Alligator mississippiensis: one gene and its partner. The protein of the gene in region 2 purifies or fractionates together with the protein of the main gene of each other region. This does not show direct contact. Links are inferred from orthologs where the notes say so. Each region holds a gene or a part of one and is shown on either strand. Other genes may lie near its edges.

Evidence for each region.
Region 1: the proteins of VPS45 (region 2) and RBSN purify together in Homo sapiens (affinity purification with mass spectrometry; 4 studies listed by BioGRID and IntAct, counting the BioPlex papers as one, with this or other methods). This does not show direct contact. The link is inferred for Alligator mississippiensis from reciprocal best matches to the Homo sapiens genes VPS45 and RBSN.

Annotation. Positions count from the first base shown.
Region 1 is NC_081835.1:15,632,305-15,641,056, reverse strand, and holds the start of RBSN (rabenosyn-5), read right to left. Parts: upstream 4,195-8,752; 5' UTR 4,092-4,194; intron 3,642-4,091; 5' UTR 3,552-3,641; coding exon 3,389-3,551; intron 1-3,388. UniProt on the Homo sapiens protein: Rab4/Rab5 effector protein acting in early endocytic membrane fusion and membrane trafficking of recycling endosomes. Required for endosome fusion either homotypically or with clathrin coated vesicles.
Region 2 is NC_081838.1:18,213,587-18,223,166, reverse strand, and holds the start of VPS45 (vacuolar protein sorting-associated protein 45), read right to left. Parts: upstream 3,961-9,580; 5' UTR 3,776-3,960; coding exon 3,683-3,775; intron 2,634-3,682; coding exon 2,499-2,633; intron 1-2,498. Other genes in the region: uncharacterized protein LOC109282924, read left to right, coding at 4,921-4,966, 6,567-6,602, 7,519-7,567, 7,718-7,784. UniProt on the Homo sapiens protein: May play a role in vesicle-mediated protein trafficking from the Golgi stack through the trans-Golgi network.

The DNA of each region.
Region 1 (8,752 bases), on a different chromosome or scaffold from region 2:
TGGCTATATGGCCTAAAACAAAGGCAAGAGTAAAATTTGACCTCAAACTCTCAAGGAGACAAATAGCTTGCGTCTGTCATGAAGAATTGAACATATTTTTGCTGATTAAGCAACCATCTGGCCTTTTTATTTTGTTCTAGAAATCTCACTGGGAACGCTATAATTGAATGGTTTTTCTGCAATGGATGATGTATTTTTCATATAATACCAGTCTTCTGCAATATAACAAAGTGGGGTTCCACAACGTTTTGCAGTAAAGGCTACATTATTCAGCCTTCTGCACAGAGGGCTTTTTTGTTAAGAGTATGACACAAGGTAAGAAAACCTGCTTTACTGTAACAAATGCCTTGTACTATACAAAACTGATGAAGCCTCTTTGGGTCAAGAAACAGGTGCATGAAAAAGCCCCTTTCCCTTTTCTGCTGTACACCAGAGATTACACAATGTTTTCCTAAAGTGGACCTCAGCCTCAAAGAGAGAATGCGACACTGATATATAATAATCACACAGCAAAGGTAGTCTCATTGAAGTCAGGCTTGGGAGTAAAGATATCATAAAAAGCTGAGAAATTCTCTCTTCTCATGGACCACTTGTGATTTCAATCATGACAGCAGCCTCTCTCTCCTCATTCCAAATCAAGTAGGCTGCTTACAGACATTAAAGAAAAGAAAACAAAACAAAACGGGGGGGGTTACTTTAAACTCTATGCGCCCCCATGCCGAGCCCAGCACATGCCCAGAAAAGGCATCATATTAGCTGATGGGCAAGCCAGGTGCAACTATATAGATCGGGCACTTTAGTAGGGCTTTTTGGTGCTTTTACCTAATAGCTGATTGAATCAGCTTTAGAAAGAAGCACCAAAAAGCCCTGCTGAAGTGCCCAATCTATACACATGCTGCAGAGCTAAGTCGAAATAACTGCCTCTTGTGGTAAACCAAGTTTTTGGGAGCTTTTTTCCACATCTGTCAGCACCCATAATGTCTCTGTGGAAACCACACCAAGTACTGACAAAGTAAAACAATATTAAGAATATATTCTTCAGCAGTTTATTGTGTAAAAGTAAGTGATATCTCCTTAGCACCAGCCTATTCTCCACAACCAACAGGAAACGTTTCACAGACAACAGGCTTTAAAAATCAGCTTTGCACACTGACAGTATCAGGGAGACCCTTGCCTCCTGGAGGGCAAGGGTCTCCCTGATACTGTCAGTGTGCAAAGTATCAGGAGTTTGCACACAAAAACTCAAGGAGTTTTGTTTTCTGAAGTGTTAACATATACAAGAACCTAGAAATAACAAACATCTGGAGCTTAATGCTGCCAGGTTCCTGGCTACCACAGCTCCTTGAAGCCAATGAAAGTGGAGGGTGCTAGTTTTCTTGCTGGAAGCACTCAGAACCTCACAGAAGCTTGTTTGTTATTATAGGGGAGAGGAAGCAAGGTTGAAAGTTGTCCTTATGTGACACTGACAGACCCATGAGGGATCCCCACACTCCTTACTTGTCACTGTCCCACATTCAAAATTCCCAGCAAGGATATTCCCTCCAATTCAGACAATATCTTAATCATCCGGAAGTTCTCAGAATTGTTAAGTGAACCAGAGAAATAAGGATGTAAATGGCAGCAGGAGCTACGTATTTCCAATATGTTGCTCCTCTCAAGTTTATTTTTGGTTTGTTTGTTTTTTCAGTCTAAAGCCAAGAGAGTCACATGGCATTAACGCGGCTCAGGTAAGAGTCTTCTGTCTTACCAACCTGCAATTAGACACAGTGATGTCAGCAAGAAATTGCTTAAAATACTTCTGACGTGCAACGTGAATGCTACATTTATTATAAAAGCCATCTTGTTGGTTTTTATGCTAGGATGAGTTTTACTGGACGTGGTTTGAATAAGACTGCCAGGAAAGCCAGGAAATAAAAACATCTTTCAAAAATGTAGATTTCAAGCTGCTATTTTTTTTTTAATACAGTTACAGCATGAAATTCTAAATTAAAGGCCGTGGTAGAATCCAACACTGAGGTGTTTGATATCAAAGTGTTGAGGGGGCTCGCAAAATCTAATCATTTTCTCTCTTAAAACAGGGAAAATGATATTGGTTCTTTGGTATGAATATTCGATTGCAGACTCTGCAATTAAGGTATTATAGCGTTGTTTTAGCCCACAAGAAACAGAGAGAAAAACTGACCTGTATGTGTTACTTAATCAAGAAGACAGATCTACTGAAAAAGCTAAGTAGCAGCCAAAAGTGGCGAAAAGTAAATTAGATTTATAAAAATGTAACTGTAATAAGCTTATTAAAAAGCAGAACAAGTGAGGACTTTTTAAAGAGTAAAAAAAATTAAATACATATCAGTGTCAAAGTGCCCTTTTGACAGGTCCTCATAATTATATTAAAAAAGCAGTAAATATTCAAGATCAAGGAAAAACAGCTAAGCCTCTTTCTAGGAAAACGCACAAAACAAAATAACTGTTTCTGCATATTTTATCTAAATTTAACAGCATATATGCAAGGAAGCTATGAACTGAATCTTTTGCCGTCTCCAAATAGAAAACCTTTTACCATCTCCAACTAAAAAAAGTGTTCTAAACTTTGCAGAAGTGTGGTATAAACCCAGACAAATTACGCAGCAACAAAGGGGCTGGTAACTGATCAGTACAAGCTTCCCCACCTTCTAGTCAATTGACAAATTCATAGACTAGTCTTCAATCCACACCCCGGGAATTTACATAGATAACTCCTATTATATACACAGGTAACTCCTATTAGCGCAAACACCAATTCTCTCTTTACTGAGATTAATCACAAAAAACAAAAGGCCAGTATATTTCCATTTTGAAAATATAATACAGTATATTCAAAATGGAAATACTGGCCTTTGTGACTGAAGTCAGTAAAGAGAGAATTGTTCGCACTAATAGGAGTTATCAATGTATATAATAGGAGTTATCTATGCAAATTCCCTGGGTGTCAATTGAAGACTAGCCTATGAATTTGTCAGTTGACTAGAAGGTGGGGAAGCTTGTCCTTGAAGAGAGAATTGGTGTTTGCACTAATGGGAGTTATTTATGTATATAATAGGAGCTACTTATATATGTAGTTCAGTATCTGAGAAGTCTAGTGATTTATTTAGGTGCCTAACTTCAGCCAACATGTTAGTAAACAACAACAAAAAGCTTTTCCTTAAAAATCAGCAACTCTACAGCAATTTTTTGGCCTCCCCACTCACACAAAAAATGAGCTCTCCCTCCCCCTCCTAACTCATTTTAATCAGTATTTTAGCCATTTGAAACTTCAGGCTCTTTTTCAGCGTCTGTAACACAACCGTTTGTCATTGCACGGAGTTTTACCCAAGAGCCGGACGTAGCGAAGCACTCGTCAACCGCCTCTTACTTTTGAGCTGCCCCTTGACGTCCCGGTCTTCACTCGAGTGCTCCTCTTCGTAGTGCGACTGAAGCTGATAGAAGGACTGAAGATCCTTCAGGCACAGTGGGCACAGGAAGCCCTCTCGCACCTCCCCGGGGTCATCGAACGGCGGCGGGTAGCTCGATGCCATGACGGCTCGACGGGTCTCAGCGGCACCCGACCAGGCCCGTGCTCTTCAGCGGCATCGCACCCGGGCGGGGTGCAGCATCGTCCGTGGTGCCTGGGAAGAGACCCGCGGAGCAGTTATTGTGCCCCCCACAAATGGCTGAACCAGTCACCCTCTCCCATCTGAATAGCCCGGCTGCAGCTTACAGCCAGGACCTCCCGGAGACCAGAGGCAGCCCCACAGCCGACGCGGACCTCCCGGACAGCGGCACCTTCTTCGTGCCCCCTCGAAGGTGCCAAACACGTGACTCGTCTCAGGGGGGCCAAACCTTTGCCCCCCGTGCTGGGCCCAGCCTAAACCCCAGGGGGAGGGGTCCTGCATGGGGGAGGGGCAGCGGAGCCGCCCCCACGTGCCCCCGGCCTCGCTTCTCGGCCCAGCCCCACCCCGGGATGAGGCACGGCCTGTCCGGGCCCCGACCAGCACCTCCCCCGCCCGCTGCGGGCGCCTCATGGCGCCGCCTGTGAGGAAACCCTCCCCTCCCCCCGGCCTGCGGGGGCCACTCACCTCCGGGCCCAGCGAGCGCTGCGGGGAGCGGCGCGCCGAGCCAGCGATAGCACAGCCGAGAGGGCGGGGCCGAGCGCAGGGCGCGCCGCCGAGCGCCGAGCGATGGATGGGCGCGCGGGGCATGCTGGGAAAGGGGCGCGAGGCCACGCCCCGGTGCGGGCGGCCCGGCCTGAGAGGCGCCGCCTGGGCCCTTCCCGCCCACGGGGCCCAGCGCCGCAGGGAGATTGGCCACAGAAGCCCACCCCCACCTCAGCCAGCTGGGCCCAGTGTCAGGCCAGGGGGCAGATCCATACGTCTCCAGTGGCTTCTTTCCTCCTCGAGGAACCGCTGCGTTGCGGAGGGCTGGCTCGCTTCACGCCTGGCGTTTGCGCGAGGCGGTTGAGCGCGCCCACCTGCGGCAAAGGTGGACGCGGCGGCACGAGGCGGCCGGTAGATGCAATTGCGTGCCGGGTGCTTCCAGCGAAGAAGACCCGGAGAATTGGGCCTACCACGTGTAGCGGAGTTGGCTTGCCTGCCACCGCCTCGCATATAACATGAGTGTATATGTGCACGTGCTCCTGTGAGACGGATTTCCAGATCGTAGCCTGTTTGGAGTGGGTTTCAAGCCGTGGGACCGTGTGTTTTAGGCCCAACCCTTCCATTGGCTGCCAGCGATAATTCTGCAGTTCGCAGCCACGCACCTGAGCATGCTGGGAACAGACCGGAGGTTTCTAATACGCCCGACAGGTTTCGTTCTCAGAGCCCCCCCACAAAGTTGTATGTTTGGCCCTGCTCTCTCTAGCGTAGATCCCACTTTGTTCCTCAAGGTAGGAGCATCATGTCTCCCTAGTGATACAGTTATTGCTTTATTTCACCTGGAAGAGGCCTGTGTTGTACTACTGCATATTACCTAGACCAGCGGTTCCCAAACTGACAGATTGCATGCGGCCAATTTAAAACGATACAACATGAAGTACCACCAGCAAATTTTTGTCATATAAAGTAATTATAATCAATCTGTTAACGTACCACTGAGAGGTTGTCTGCATACCACTTAGGGTGGCCATCATAGAGGACATTCTGGTTTTCTGCTACTCTGTCCTCTTTGGTACAAAGCCCGACACCTTTATGTTCTCTATTTTTCTTTTCAAGAAAAATAGAAAAATAAAAAAATATTTTTCTCTTCAAGAAAAATAGAGGACATAAAGGCATCGGGTTTCGTCTCAATAGAGGACAGAGGACAACCAGACTGTCCTCTGTGATGACCACCCTAGTACCTCTGATGGTACGTGTACCACAGATTGGGAACCGCTGATCTAGACCAATGATTCCCAGCTTTTTTAGGCTCAAGGCACCCCTCATTAGACTCAAAGCTTCTTTAATTGTTATGAGTTGAGCAGCACCCTATTTCAAAAACTAACTTATTTATTCCTTGCAGAGGAGCTGAGTAGGGACAAAGGAGTGTGGCCAAGCAGGGGTAAGCCTGGGCTTGTGCTTATCTACTAATCTCACACCTCCTACACCCATCAAAGAATTGAAAGAATCTCACCCTGGTTAAGAATAAATGACCTAGACATATGACCCCTTCTTACATTATTAGTACTTAATAAGAAATAGGATGTTTCTGGGCACTGCTATGAACAGTCTTTTTATCTGAGGGTCAGTCATTTAAAACCACTTCAGCTCCCAACAGGAGTTAAGGGTTATTATTTTCCAAGGTACAAAGGGTTAAGTGCCTACCTCCCCTTTGACTTAAAATTCTTCCCAGGTAAGTGGTATTTGGTGGCCTCACGTGAGATTAATTTGATGGGTCTTATTTTCACCTAGCTCACTACCGCAGTTTCCACTAATTAGCAAACTTGGTAAAGGCCAAGAACTGGGTGCTCCGCATGACCTGTAATACTTCTGATATATCAGAGGAATTCTGTATTGTACCAGTCTGCTTATTTTTGTTCTACTTGACCCATGCAGAGCTCAGTGTTCACATCTTACCGTTCCAGCTCTTTCATTTTTTTTAAAGCCAAGAAGAACAATTAGTCCATGTTAGAAACTAACCTGGTATCAAATTTTGGTATCTGTTCTGCAGTCTGATCCAGGTGGGCAACCCACACTACATTATCGTTTTCATCACCTTTTGCATCACACTGAATTTGGCCCATTTTGCTGTTACATAACTGCAATCTTACAGAAGCATAAGGGGGAAATAAAGGCTCAGAACTGACCTGATTTAGTCACAGGAATAATTGAATGTTATAAATAACCAAAGGAGCTGAATTTTTAAATAACCAATTTGAGTTGGATCCATTACTCTCTACTTCTCAAAACAATGCAGTCTTGGTTCAATTACTTGCAGAGAGAACCAGGCAGCTATGAAAAAGAATGTAGAATCCCACTTATAATCACTTCCCTCTTTAACATGGAAAATGCAGGCTCAAGACCAATTTGCTGTTAAAAGCAGAGATGACTTTTATGATGCTGTAAAGGAAAAAATTCCCCTCTTATGATACTGCAGCTCTGATGCTATTAACAAATTGTATTGTATATAATAAACCATTAGTGTATTTAAAAGGTGTATTTGATTTCTTCTTTACATTAACAGAGCATATTGATCAAAAAGTTTTACGAACACGAATAGTGGGGTTTTTTTTAAATAATGCTATTGATTTAATTTCAAAACATAAGAATGTCCTCAGCCCATAAAGACAGAGAAGAAAGAGAATGTTAATTGCTGCACTGTACCAAGGCAGTACAATTGGCTTAAGTATAAGGTAATGCTTATCTATACTGCTGCTGGTATCCATGGTCATCTATATAAGTGCTTTTAGGATATCTTTTCCTGGGGTTTATGTAAGGAAAATGGTGATATGTAAAAGGGATTCAGTCTGAGGAATGTGTTAATAAACTTGTGGCTCACATTATTATTAGATGAGATAACCTGGTTATTTCTTTTTCAGTGTGACAAATGAGTAGATTTTTTTTTGAATGACATGTTGTATAAAGCCATCAAGATGCGCATATGCTTTAGAACCCCAACCCTGGCCACTGATCCTATGCTTGCAGTACCCTGTACCTATGAGTTATCTCACTGAAACCAACTGGGTTCTTCTTGCATAGATTTATGGCTAATATCTGGATGTGAATGAATACACAGCTGACTTTCCCCTTCTTCCATTTCCTGACACTTGTCTGACCTCATTTACTACATCACTTCTCTAGTAAGCACCATTCCCTGTGAATAATTAGGGGTGTGAGTCATGATTGCAGGTTTGGGCTCTCAGGCTTTAGTCCTGTGGTTTGTTCTCTCTGGGAGTGCTCAGCTAGTGTTGAAGTTGCAGGGTAAGGCTTTGTCTCTATAAGGGAAAAGCCTAGAATAACTAATATGGAAGAGTAGCAACATCACATTAGCTCCTTGTGTGAGTGCTCTTATTCTACACTAAGAATACCATGCAAAGAAACTCCAGTTTGGAGGTAACCTGTTTGGAGTAGTTATTACTTGGACACTGCCTTGCTAGTTCTCACTAACTTCTGTGGCATTCCCTGGCTTGACAAGCCCTCATGTTGCAAGTCCTTTAGTGTGGCATCAGGTCTTGTCTCTAATGCATGTGATACAATCTCAAAACAGTGCTGGAAAATGTTCACAGAAGTGGCATGATGGCTGTCCCACAGACAACTGTCAACAAGCCAGTGGGGTTGAGGGTATGCATTTGACTTCACCAGAGACAGATCTGAGAGAGAAATCATAGTTTAATTACTATAAATGGTCTAGCAAGGTAGGGTGGGTTTGATTAACAAGAGAGTAGACTTGATATGCAACATTTATCCTGGATTGTACGACACATTTAAACAGACAGTGTGAGTCCCTGAGCCAGGGAGTAATGTTCTTTGTAAATGCAGATAACAGTTTTCAGGCAAGTACTCTCTGCTACAACTAGAATTGTTTGTTCCCACTGTGATGACTGCATGACATAGACCTCACGTAAAGGGGGATTCTCTGCTTTCCTTAATGGAACTCTCATTAGTCCCTACAGTAAGTACATCAAGTACATCATGTGGAATAGGAACACTCATGCTGCAAAAAGTGTTGTTCTTGCTTCTTGCAACACATCCTGGATTTCCCACACCCAGGTTCTTTGTAAACAGGGACCTCTTTACTGCATGCAAATGTCAAAGGGCTGTGATACAGGGGACTGTGCTCACAGTGAAGCATATGCACATGGGGACAAGCCCTGTGTCCAGCAGGGCTTTCCTGCACAGCCTGGGACTGGCCAGGACCTGTCCCGGTCTGGGGCAGGTCCCAGCCATCTCCGGGCTACATAGAGACTGCTCTGCGCAGCCTGGAGCTGGCTGGGATCTGCCCTTCCTCCGCAGGTGCTTCCCAGCCCTGTGCTTCAATTGGGAGAATAGGGCAGGAGGCTGCTGGTGAAGCAGTGTTAAGCTGCTCCTGTTAAGAGTCCCCCCCCCCACAGCTGTTTCCCAGCTCTGTGCCCAAATCGCTAGAATAGTCTACTGTGCAATAAACATCTTGTGTAGACACACCCACAGAGAAGTAAATAACAGGAAGTCATGGGCCAGACTCTCAGTAGATGTAAATTAGCATGGGTCCAATAGGCTGTACATTGATTTACACTAGCTCCCAATTTAGGCCTCAGTTTCCATTTTAGCTCCTCTCAGACTGTCTGTGT
Region 2 (9,580 bases):
CAGACCTCTTTAACAAATTCTTTGCCTCCATTTTCCTCTGCAGGGACCAGGACTCCCCGACCAGGATTCCAGATGGACTCAGGAGAAACACTGCCAGGCCTAAGGTCAGGGAGGACTGGGAAACAATAAAATATCTATAACGTTGGGTTTTTTTGTCCGATTTGGATGAAATTTTCAGGGGTGGTAGAATCTGCAGAGAGCATGAAGCCTGCCAAGTTTCGAGACCAGTGCAAGGGTTTGGGGGGGGGGAAACTGTACCCCAAATTCTTGAAAGCAAAACTCCTTTCACATGTATGTGTTACAACACAGGGGAGGTCAAAACTGCAGAGCTGGTAGCTCTTGCTGAGGCCACAAAGCCTGCCAGGTTTCAAGAAGATCGGTGCAGGGGTTTGAGGGAAACTGCCCCTCAAGCTGTGGACAAGCAAAACTCATGCCATGGGTGACACTGTATGCGTTAAGGCACAGCGGGGTGACAGCTGCAGGGATGGTGGCCCCTGCTGCAGCCATGAAGCCTGCCAGCTGTCGAGGAGATTGGTGCAGGGGTTCTGGGGCCCTGCACCCCTTGCTGCTGACAGACAAAACTTGTGCCACCCTATCAATAGGTGGTCACTATCCTTAGGTGGTCACTAAGTTACCTTGCACCTGCAGATCCCCCACCAAGTTGTCCCCTGTGGCCAGTACCAAGTCTAGTAAGGCATTTCCCCTAGTGGGAACACGTACCTCCTGCAATAGGTGAAGGTCCTGTAAGAAGGTTAGAAACTTTTGTGAATGGGCAGACCTGGCTGCCTATTTCTCCCAGCAGATGTCTGGGAAGTTAAAAGTCACCCATGACAACCAGGTTCTTTGAGCGTGCTGCCTCTAAGAGCCATCTTGAGAATTCTAGGCCTAGCTCATCCCCCTGGTGTGGGGGTCTGTAGTAGACCCCCCACTACCATGTCCCTTTCACCCTGACCCCCCTGTAACCTGACCCATAGTACCTCAATTTGCCCTTCTTCCTGGCCCAAGTTAACTACGGAAGATGTATATTGCTCCTTAACATAGAGAGCAACTGATGACTCTGAAACTTGTGCTAAGCTTGGGCCTACTCACAAAAGTTAAAATACAGAATAATAATACTAAATGCATATTGCAAGAGGATGCAAGTTCATGGCTAGGCCATCTAAGAAGGAATAACGAAGCAACTCTTCCAGCTTATCTTGCTATATTCAAGGTAATTTCAAGCAGACTCTTAGTTGTCTGGTGTGTAACCATATGAAATGTCTATCCTTGATTAATTAGTATGGTAAATATTTCTTTTGCGACTAACTCGTGTTTATGTGCAGGAAGAGACATTCCCCATATGCAATAGATGTCTCCTCCTGATTTAGTATGTTTTTCCTGGCTGTTAATCAGTTTCTTGATAAATTTCAAACTGGATAACTTCTTGTTACTGAAGAAGGCAACTCATTCAAATTAGGAATTTCTGATAACCAGTAATGAGCAGGTTTTTCCTGTCAATTACTGCCTGGGACTCTCTTGATTTACACAACTAAAAGAATGCTTTGAAGATGCTAAAGCAAGGGTATAAAAAGGCAGTAAAACAGCAAACAGCATGCGCACTTCAAGAGTGCGAAATCTCTGACACCAGTTGCTGATACGCCCGACTTACTCGAGAAGTTGAAGAGAAACAGACCGCCTCTTCATCACCCGTTTGGTAAGAAATCATCACCTTATAGCTAATTACTGGACTTTGATTTGGTTTGGGCTCACTCGACTTGATTTTAAATACTAGTAGTAAATAAAGCCATTCTGTCACTCATCCAACGAGGTGTCGTGTCAATCCCTGGGATAGTCCAGAACCCTACATTTTTATTTGCCAACACAACGCCCTTCACCACCCCCCCCCCACCCCCCCGTCCTGTCTGTACAGCCTGTAGCCCTCAATGTCCACTGCCCAGTCATGGGTACGATGACTAGTTAAACTAAAAACGTAGCAAACTCTGTAGATATAAGGTTGGTCTAATAAAAGGTATCATCTCTGAACCAAGAGTTCTAGAGGTTTGCATTTCTCTGTAGTTATGAGGAATTCTTGGTGACCTTCTTGATATAATCCCAACAGTTTTAACAAATTCCCCCTACCCTCTCATAAGCAGGCACCATAGAGCACACCACTCTTATAAAACCATCACAAAAAAGTATCCACCTGGATATACAACCTACTTGGGCACACTTTATAACATAAATGAGAGAGAAAAAAAAGAAAAATACAGAAGATTGCCATCTCCAAAATAGTGGACAAGGCAAAGTTTGCAGATGAGCAAACTAATACCCTCACCCTGCAAGCATATGCCCCTGTGCTGATGTTATGGACTTGAAATTGAGAGCTTAGGCTCAGAAATAGGCAGACAAGCACGTGACTAAATATTTACAGGATTGAGGTGTTATATGACACGTGCACGATCCACTCAGCTGAAATCAAGAAGCTGGAGAGATCAAACACGGAGACGGAACTGCCTTACCTTCGTGGGTCGTAAGAAACAGATTGCTTTCAAGTGTTTCATGGTCTCTCTGTTCGAAGAATCAATGCGCTCAAAGAGGTAAACTTCTTTCTGCAGGATCTCTGACTGGGTGTACACCATGCTTACAATACTGGTCTGCAGCAAAAGAAAGCAGCCGTTATTTCAACTCACCGGTACCATCTGATGACATACTAGATGAGACGAAGGAATGGTGTCTAATGGCTAAAACATAAAGGACTGGGAGTCAGGCCTCCTGATTTTACTTCCAGGCCTTGCCAAAGATTTGCTTCACATAGTTTTAATTCCTGGGCCATAGTTTTCTATGGGGAAATTGTAAGGTTCACTTTAATTGTATTTTTAACCCAGAAGCCTCAGTGCAAGATATAGCCTCAGCTGAATTTATAGCTCACGATAATAGACCCTATTAAGCTTAGTAGCAAATCTATTGGGATGTGAAGAAAGGCATAACACATGCATCCACATCCACTGCATGCTCACCTGATCTTCATCTCCCTCCAAAGCGAACATAAAACTGCTTGCACCTCAGCCCTTCTCATTTATTCTAGCAGTCTGTAGCCTCAGCAACTCAAAGACCCAGCAAAATGTCCCCCCCCACCCCATTCCCTCCTTGAAGAAGGGATATTGCACTTGAAAAGTAGGAGAGCTGCACTTCTGTCTGCACCCGAAAAGACCAAAGATTAGAGAGGAAGGAAAGCATAATACAGTTGGATACAAATTAAATTTAAAAAAAACAACCCAAGGCCAAATTAGCTAAAACTAAATTCCCAATCCAAGCCTCCAGAACTATAAGTGGTGCTACTACTGGCAAATATCCTCCTAGGCCTTCAGATGTTTCCAAAACCTTTGGCAGGCATCCTACTTGCAGGCCCAACCCCGGAGGCTCAGGGTTCGGATGCCCCCCGAGTTTTGCTTGCCCTCAGCCAGAAGGCCCTCGAAGCAAGCAAGGGAGGAGACTCCCATTTCCATCAAGCGGGCAGCAAACCACACCAGAACAGCAGTTCAGGAAAAACTGCCTTCTGACAGTATAGTCGTCCCCCTGCTTCTCAGGCAGGGGCAGCCGGGATGCTGAGCCACAGGGGAGCTGTGGAGAAAAAAAAACCCCTCTGCAAACCGCAGCCCGCAATTCAGGAAGGGCAGAAGCGCCGCCAGCACTCCCAGCTCACCGTTTCTTTATCCATCAAGAGGACCTTCATCCCCGGCCCGCTGTCCTCGATCATCTTGGACACATACTGCTTCACTGCAAACACCACGTTCATTTTCCTTCTCCCCACACCACCACCACCCCTCCGACAACTCGATCCCCCGCTGCAAGGGTGAAAGCCCAGCAGGCAGCTCCTCTCCCCGGTGCAGCTGATCGGCTTCACTTCCTCCTGCGGCGGCCCTGGGAGCTGTAGTCCGCGCGCCGAAGCCCGGCGCCCGCCAGCAGCGGGGTTGCACTACAAGTCCCAGCCTCCTGCTCCTGCTCCTGCTCCTGCTCCTGCTCCTGCTCCTGCTCCCGCTCCCGTTCCCGTTCCCGTTCCCGCTCCCGCTGCCGCTGCCTGCAGCCGGCCGGGCGGGCCTGAGTGCGCCGCGCTCTCGGGCAGCCTTGACAGCCCTTCGCTGCGCGTGCGAGTGCGAGTGCGGCTGCGCGGGGAGGTCTTGCACAGGAGGCGTTTTGCAAAGCACAGCATTGCAACCACCTGCGGGGGCAGCCCTTCCTCGTGGGTTCAAAAAAAAAAAAACCCAAAAAAACTCCTATAGCTCTCTTGCAAAAAAACAAACAAAACAAAACGGAGCGATCATTTGCAGCCCCTGATGCTGCCATGTTGCACCAGATCAAATCCCCAACGTGCGGGCTCGTTGCGTTTTTAATAATAATAATAATTATTATTATTATTATGCCTCCATGTTGCACCAGATCAAATCCCCAACGTGCGGGCTCGTTGCTTTTTTTTATTATTATTATTACGAATTATTATTATTTAGCCTCTGATGCGGGCTCCTTGCACTCTGCAAGTGTCACTGAGGAGGGAGGCGAGGTGGGGAAAGAAGTGGCCGCCTGGGCCTCATCGCAGCTGGTTGGGGTGGGGCGTGACTCCGAATTGAGTCCGCCCTTCGCAAGCGTTGCAGGCAGCCTGCCCCCCCCCCCCCCCCACGGGCGGTTGCAGCCCCCGCGCGACCGTTACGGGGCGGGGCCCTCGTCTCCTCCCTGAGGGGTGAGGAGTGGGGCGCCCCCGCCCCCGCCTCCAGCGCCTGGGGGTGCGCCCGCTCCTGGGGATGAGCTCTGTGCAGACACCTCAGGGTGGGGGTCTCATCCCCACCGCCACAAGACACATGGGTCTCCTGTCTGAGGGTGGAGGGGCTGTAGGGGTCTCACCCCCCCTACCACAAGACACACCGGTTTCCTGTCAGGAATAAAAACATGACCCCCCTTCACTGGGGTGACCGGCAGGGTCTTCAGGCAGGCTGTGAGGGTCTCCCAGCTTCCCGGCTTGAATAATAATAGGGTTGTGGGGTGTCCCCCAGCCCCTCAGGGCTGAGGGGGTTTGTCAGGGTCTTCCTAGCTGGGATAATACAGCGGGGAGGGTCATTTAAAGCCCCCAACATCTTTTTGCAGCAGAGAAAGGGGAGAGCTGGGGTGGGGTTTCCAGTCCCAAGCCTTGTTGGACCAGGGGGGATGCTGGGGGTGAGGAATGAGCCCCAGGCTCCTTCTCCCTCAGCTAGGAGAGGGGAAGGGTTGAGGTCCCTCCTGGAAGTTGTGCCTGGCCATTAAAAAGTTCAGCCTGTCCTCTCTGTGAGACCTGGCTTTTGTGTGCAAAATACAGCTTGGGAATCTCTGACGTTTCATAGCACAGTGTTAGATGCAGGCTTCCTCCCCACCTTGGGGTAGGGTAGCTGGGTCAGGCTGTGTATTATTTATGTGCGTGCTATCTGCTGTCATCTACCCTTGAAGTCTCAGCCGCCCTCAGCCTCTATTAAGTTTGCTAGGAGCCCTCCCATAAGGGCATCCAACATCCCACTCAGCAGGACTCCTGGCACTAACATCCTGCTGATCCTGTTGTTACCATGTGTAAAAAAACCAAAATAGGAATCGCTGCGTGGGATGTGGTTCAAACATGGACGCTCTGGCTGACAAACTGTGCTCTACCATAGTTCAGGGTTATACTGCATAATTACTGTAGTTCAAGATTGAACCGTGGGGATTTTATGGATGCTAATACTTCTGTTGACAGTGTAACATCTTGGGGATTTATTTCTTTTGGCATTCAGGGGAATTGTGAACTTTGAGACATCATAAGATATCTAGATGACGGCAGACCCCCAGTCCTGCAGAAACGTGTATACTTAGCTTTATTAGGCGCATAGCTAAGTATGCTTGCAGAATCAGCATCATTATAGGATCCCATGGGATAAAACAGTAGGACCCAATTCTTGATCCTGCCTGTGCCACTGGCTTACTGTACAGCTGAGTCACTTGGGCTCAATTTCCCCCAGGTGTAAAACAAGGACCATGGTGCTTGCTTTCCTTTTTTAATCGCTTTCAGATCTATCCAGGAAAAGTGTATTACAGTACACGACTGCTATTGCATTTTTGATCTATGGCCACATCCATACTTGAAAGGTTTACTGGCAGCGTTTGTGACTGCATACTGCTAATGACCCTGTCGTTTCACTGGAGACTTGGCTGCGTTTGCTGCGTTTGCTGGTGCAAAACATCATCATAGTGGCAAAAAGGCTACAGTTTGGGTAGGAATCCTGCTATGTCTCAGGCTAGTGTGATGTACTGCTTTGTGTCACTGTTTCCAGTGGTCTGAGAGAGAGCAGCACTCCTCCCAGACGTGGGTAGGAGCTAAAGGGCAAGTTCCCGTCATCTTCTCCTTTCCCTCTGCTTAAAAAGTAAATTTCCTACCGTTCCTTCCATTTAGCTATTAAAAACAGACTGCGGGAAAAGAAGGCTTAAAGTAGGAAAATAGTAGCATGCACTGAAGGAAATAGGTTTAGTCTATGCTCATCTTTAGGTTTGTTTGTTTTGGGGGTTTTTTTGTTTTGTTTTTTTGTGTGTTCCAGGTTTCACTTTCAAAATGCCATTACTTAAAAAACAGGGTAAGTGCCAACTCTTGAATATCTTTATGAGAGGTATATCACATGGCCAGGAGTAAGATCAACAATGCTATCTTTTCAGGTATTATGTACACCAGAGTAATGAGGCTCAACTGTTGATTTGGGAAAGTTGATCGTACCATATTATCCAAAACGCAGCCACAAATTCTGTAAGATGCTGAGCTAAGCTCCTTTTTGAGGCCGTATTAGAGAGGACAGTCAGTCTTGGAGGATCCAGGTGCTTAGAAACCTTGGACCCACTTCTCCATTTACCCTAGTAAGAGTTGGAACGATTGCATATTAATCAGTAAATGCAGTCTGTGTGCACAAAAAGAGTTTCCACAAGTCAGCAGGACAGCTATAGTTACATCTGCTTTGCAGGCCAAGGGATTGTAGATGTACCCATGCTGGCTTGAAACTAGGCACCTGCAGTAGTACAAAGCTAAGTACCTGGGTATTTACCCCTTTTCTGGTGGGTTCTTCAGCCTGCACAGTTCTATGCTGCTACGGTTATACCGGTATCAGTACCGTGTTTAAAGTTCTCTCTGGTATGTCTACAGTGGCTGTGAAATCTCACCTTGGACTGTGATATAGACTTTCTGTAAGAAATTAACATAAAACAGATACAGTATTTATAAATACAGCTGGGTCTTAGTTTAGTCATTCTGTACTTTAAATCCACACATCTGCAGAGATCTACCCCCTGGAGTCCTGTTCATCTCTATGGGTTGTGCCGGGTCTGCCTACCTGGAACAATAGGCACAGTTACAACCTATCCAGATTTTGACAGTCTTTAGAAGCAGTGGGTCTCTGTGCTATTTGTTCTGCTGCTATTATTATTCCTGAATATGACCATTTTGGAAGAGAGCTATTATATTCATAAAAATGTAATCCTCTAATATCTGCATGTTTTATACAGAAAACGGTGAGCAGGTGCTGGTGAAAAATGAAAGCTATTTGCAAACCTTGTAAGTACCTTCTCATAAAAGCTGACTAAAAGGATCTCTTTCATCTTGCTCAGGTTTTACCTTTTGTTCTGCTTGATTTACATTTAATATACACCAAAATAAGTTGCAAAAATATGGACAGTCTAAAATGTCCACTTTTTTTTTTTTTAGGAAGAATAAGGATCAGAGAAAAAGACTTGTCCATGAAATCTGTACCTTTTTAGACAGCAGTCAGTCTGTAAGTAAGACATTGATCAGTATATTATTAATATTTAGCCTCTAAGAAGTGAATTTTACATATGTAGATGAGAATCTCTTTGGACTGCTGTTACAATTATTATGCCCATGTAATTAGGCTGGTTAGGGGCATCTTTTTAAACTGATGGTTAGATCATGTGACTGTTAGAATAGATGCTGTTTTTTACCCATACTCACGAGAATCTGGTTCACTACTGTAAGTATATTTATATGGATATAACTGCATAGCTGAGTGGAGGAATTATATTGTTTTCAGTTTTACATAGTTAATCTGCAGCTATGAAAACAAGCACACGCAAATTCCTGTATAATCTACATCGGTTTGATATACCAGTGATATACAGGGATCAAAAACAGGAAGGAATCAACTGTACTAGGCTATTACTGTCCCTTGCCACTAGATGGAAATCATGATCAAGTAACAGCACATTAGCCTTTATCACACGGCAACCCTGGATTGAACCCAAACAAAACCTAAATTGATGCAACTTATATTAGTATGCATTTTATCCTTTTCACGCAGGTATAACTGATCATTCTCCGCTGGATAGGGTTGAGGTAGACTGATTTAGGGGTTTGTCTTATCTGTCTAGCACAATGCCACTTAAATGTTGTCTGCTTCTGCACTACAATAAATCAGTACTTGTTTGGGACATGTACAATATCTTATTTTGGTAAAAATGACTTGTGTGTTCAGGGGATAACAATAAATGTATACAATTAATATGAAAGTAGATCTCTTCAATTTCTATGATTTAAGTGTACAAGCCAAAGATGCCTTTCTTCCTCTCTTCCCCTACTTTCATAAACACATGATGCTTCCATGAGGAAAAACAAAAGAAAGGGAGACAAAGAGAAAAGTTCTGTAGCATCTCTAGAATGATGCAAACAGCAGCAGTTTTATAATCCTAGTTTTCAGTTTCAGCAATTGCATGAAGCCAAGGCACCCAGATTTGTTTGTAACATAGCATTACTACGCATGGAACATTGCAGTAATAAGCCTCGCAAGAACACGTGTGTTTTTGGAAGAAGGGGCTTTTCACCACACAATGCTTCCCTCTGGATTGGACAGGGTATTGCAGATTTTGCCCACACGTGGCATCCCCTGCCAATTGACACCTCCAGCTCTAATATTCTGCTGCTTTTGTGACTCAGTCCTCCCGACCAGGTCATGTTTAAGTCCCCACCATCCAGGGAAGAAGTTATCTATAAGAATTCTGACACTGTTTCTAAAATACACACCTGGGCTCTTCCTCATTTCCAGTCTTCTTTTAGAGTTAGAAGAGCTAAGGCGTGTCCCTTGGGGTCTTTTAATAGGAATCCTTTTGCCCATACAAATAAAATGCAATTCAAATATCTTATGCTCACCACAAAACTTGTATTTGTAGCCCCTTTAGACATTCCTTCAAGTGTTTCAGTACTTTTTTTGCAAAAGATTACCCCACAGAGCTAACTAGCCAGAACCTCCTCTACTTTTCCTGCAACATATACCACAGGTATTTCTCTTCTCAACTGAAATTCTTCCCTACTCAGTCCTCACTGACATTTTTCCAGCTCCTTTTTACATGCTTCTGCAGGTGTAATCTCAACATTGAATTTCCAATCCCACTACCCTTGCAGCATGAGTACTAATTGAGGTCACAGGTTCCAACCAACTATTTTTCTGCCAGTGGGGATGTATATACCATAGCACCTCTCTTTGCTGGTGGTGCTCATCAGCTCTTCATTTTAGTGATTCAGCTTGTTAGTAACATTCAGCCAATTACAATGTAATTT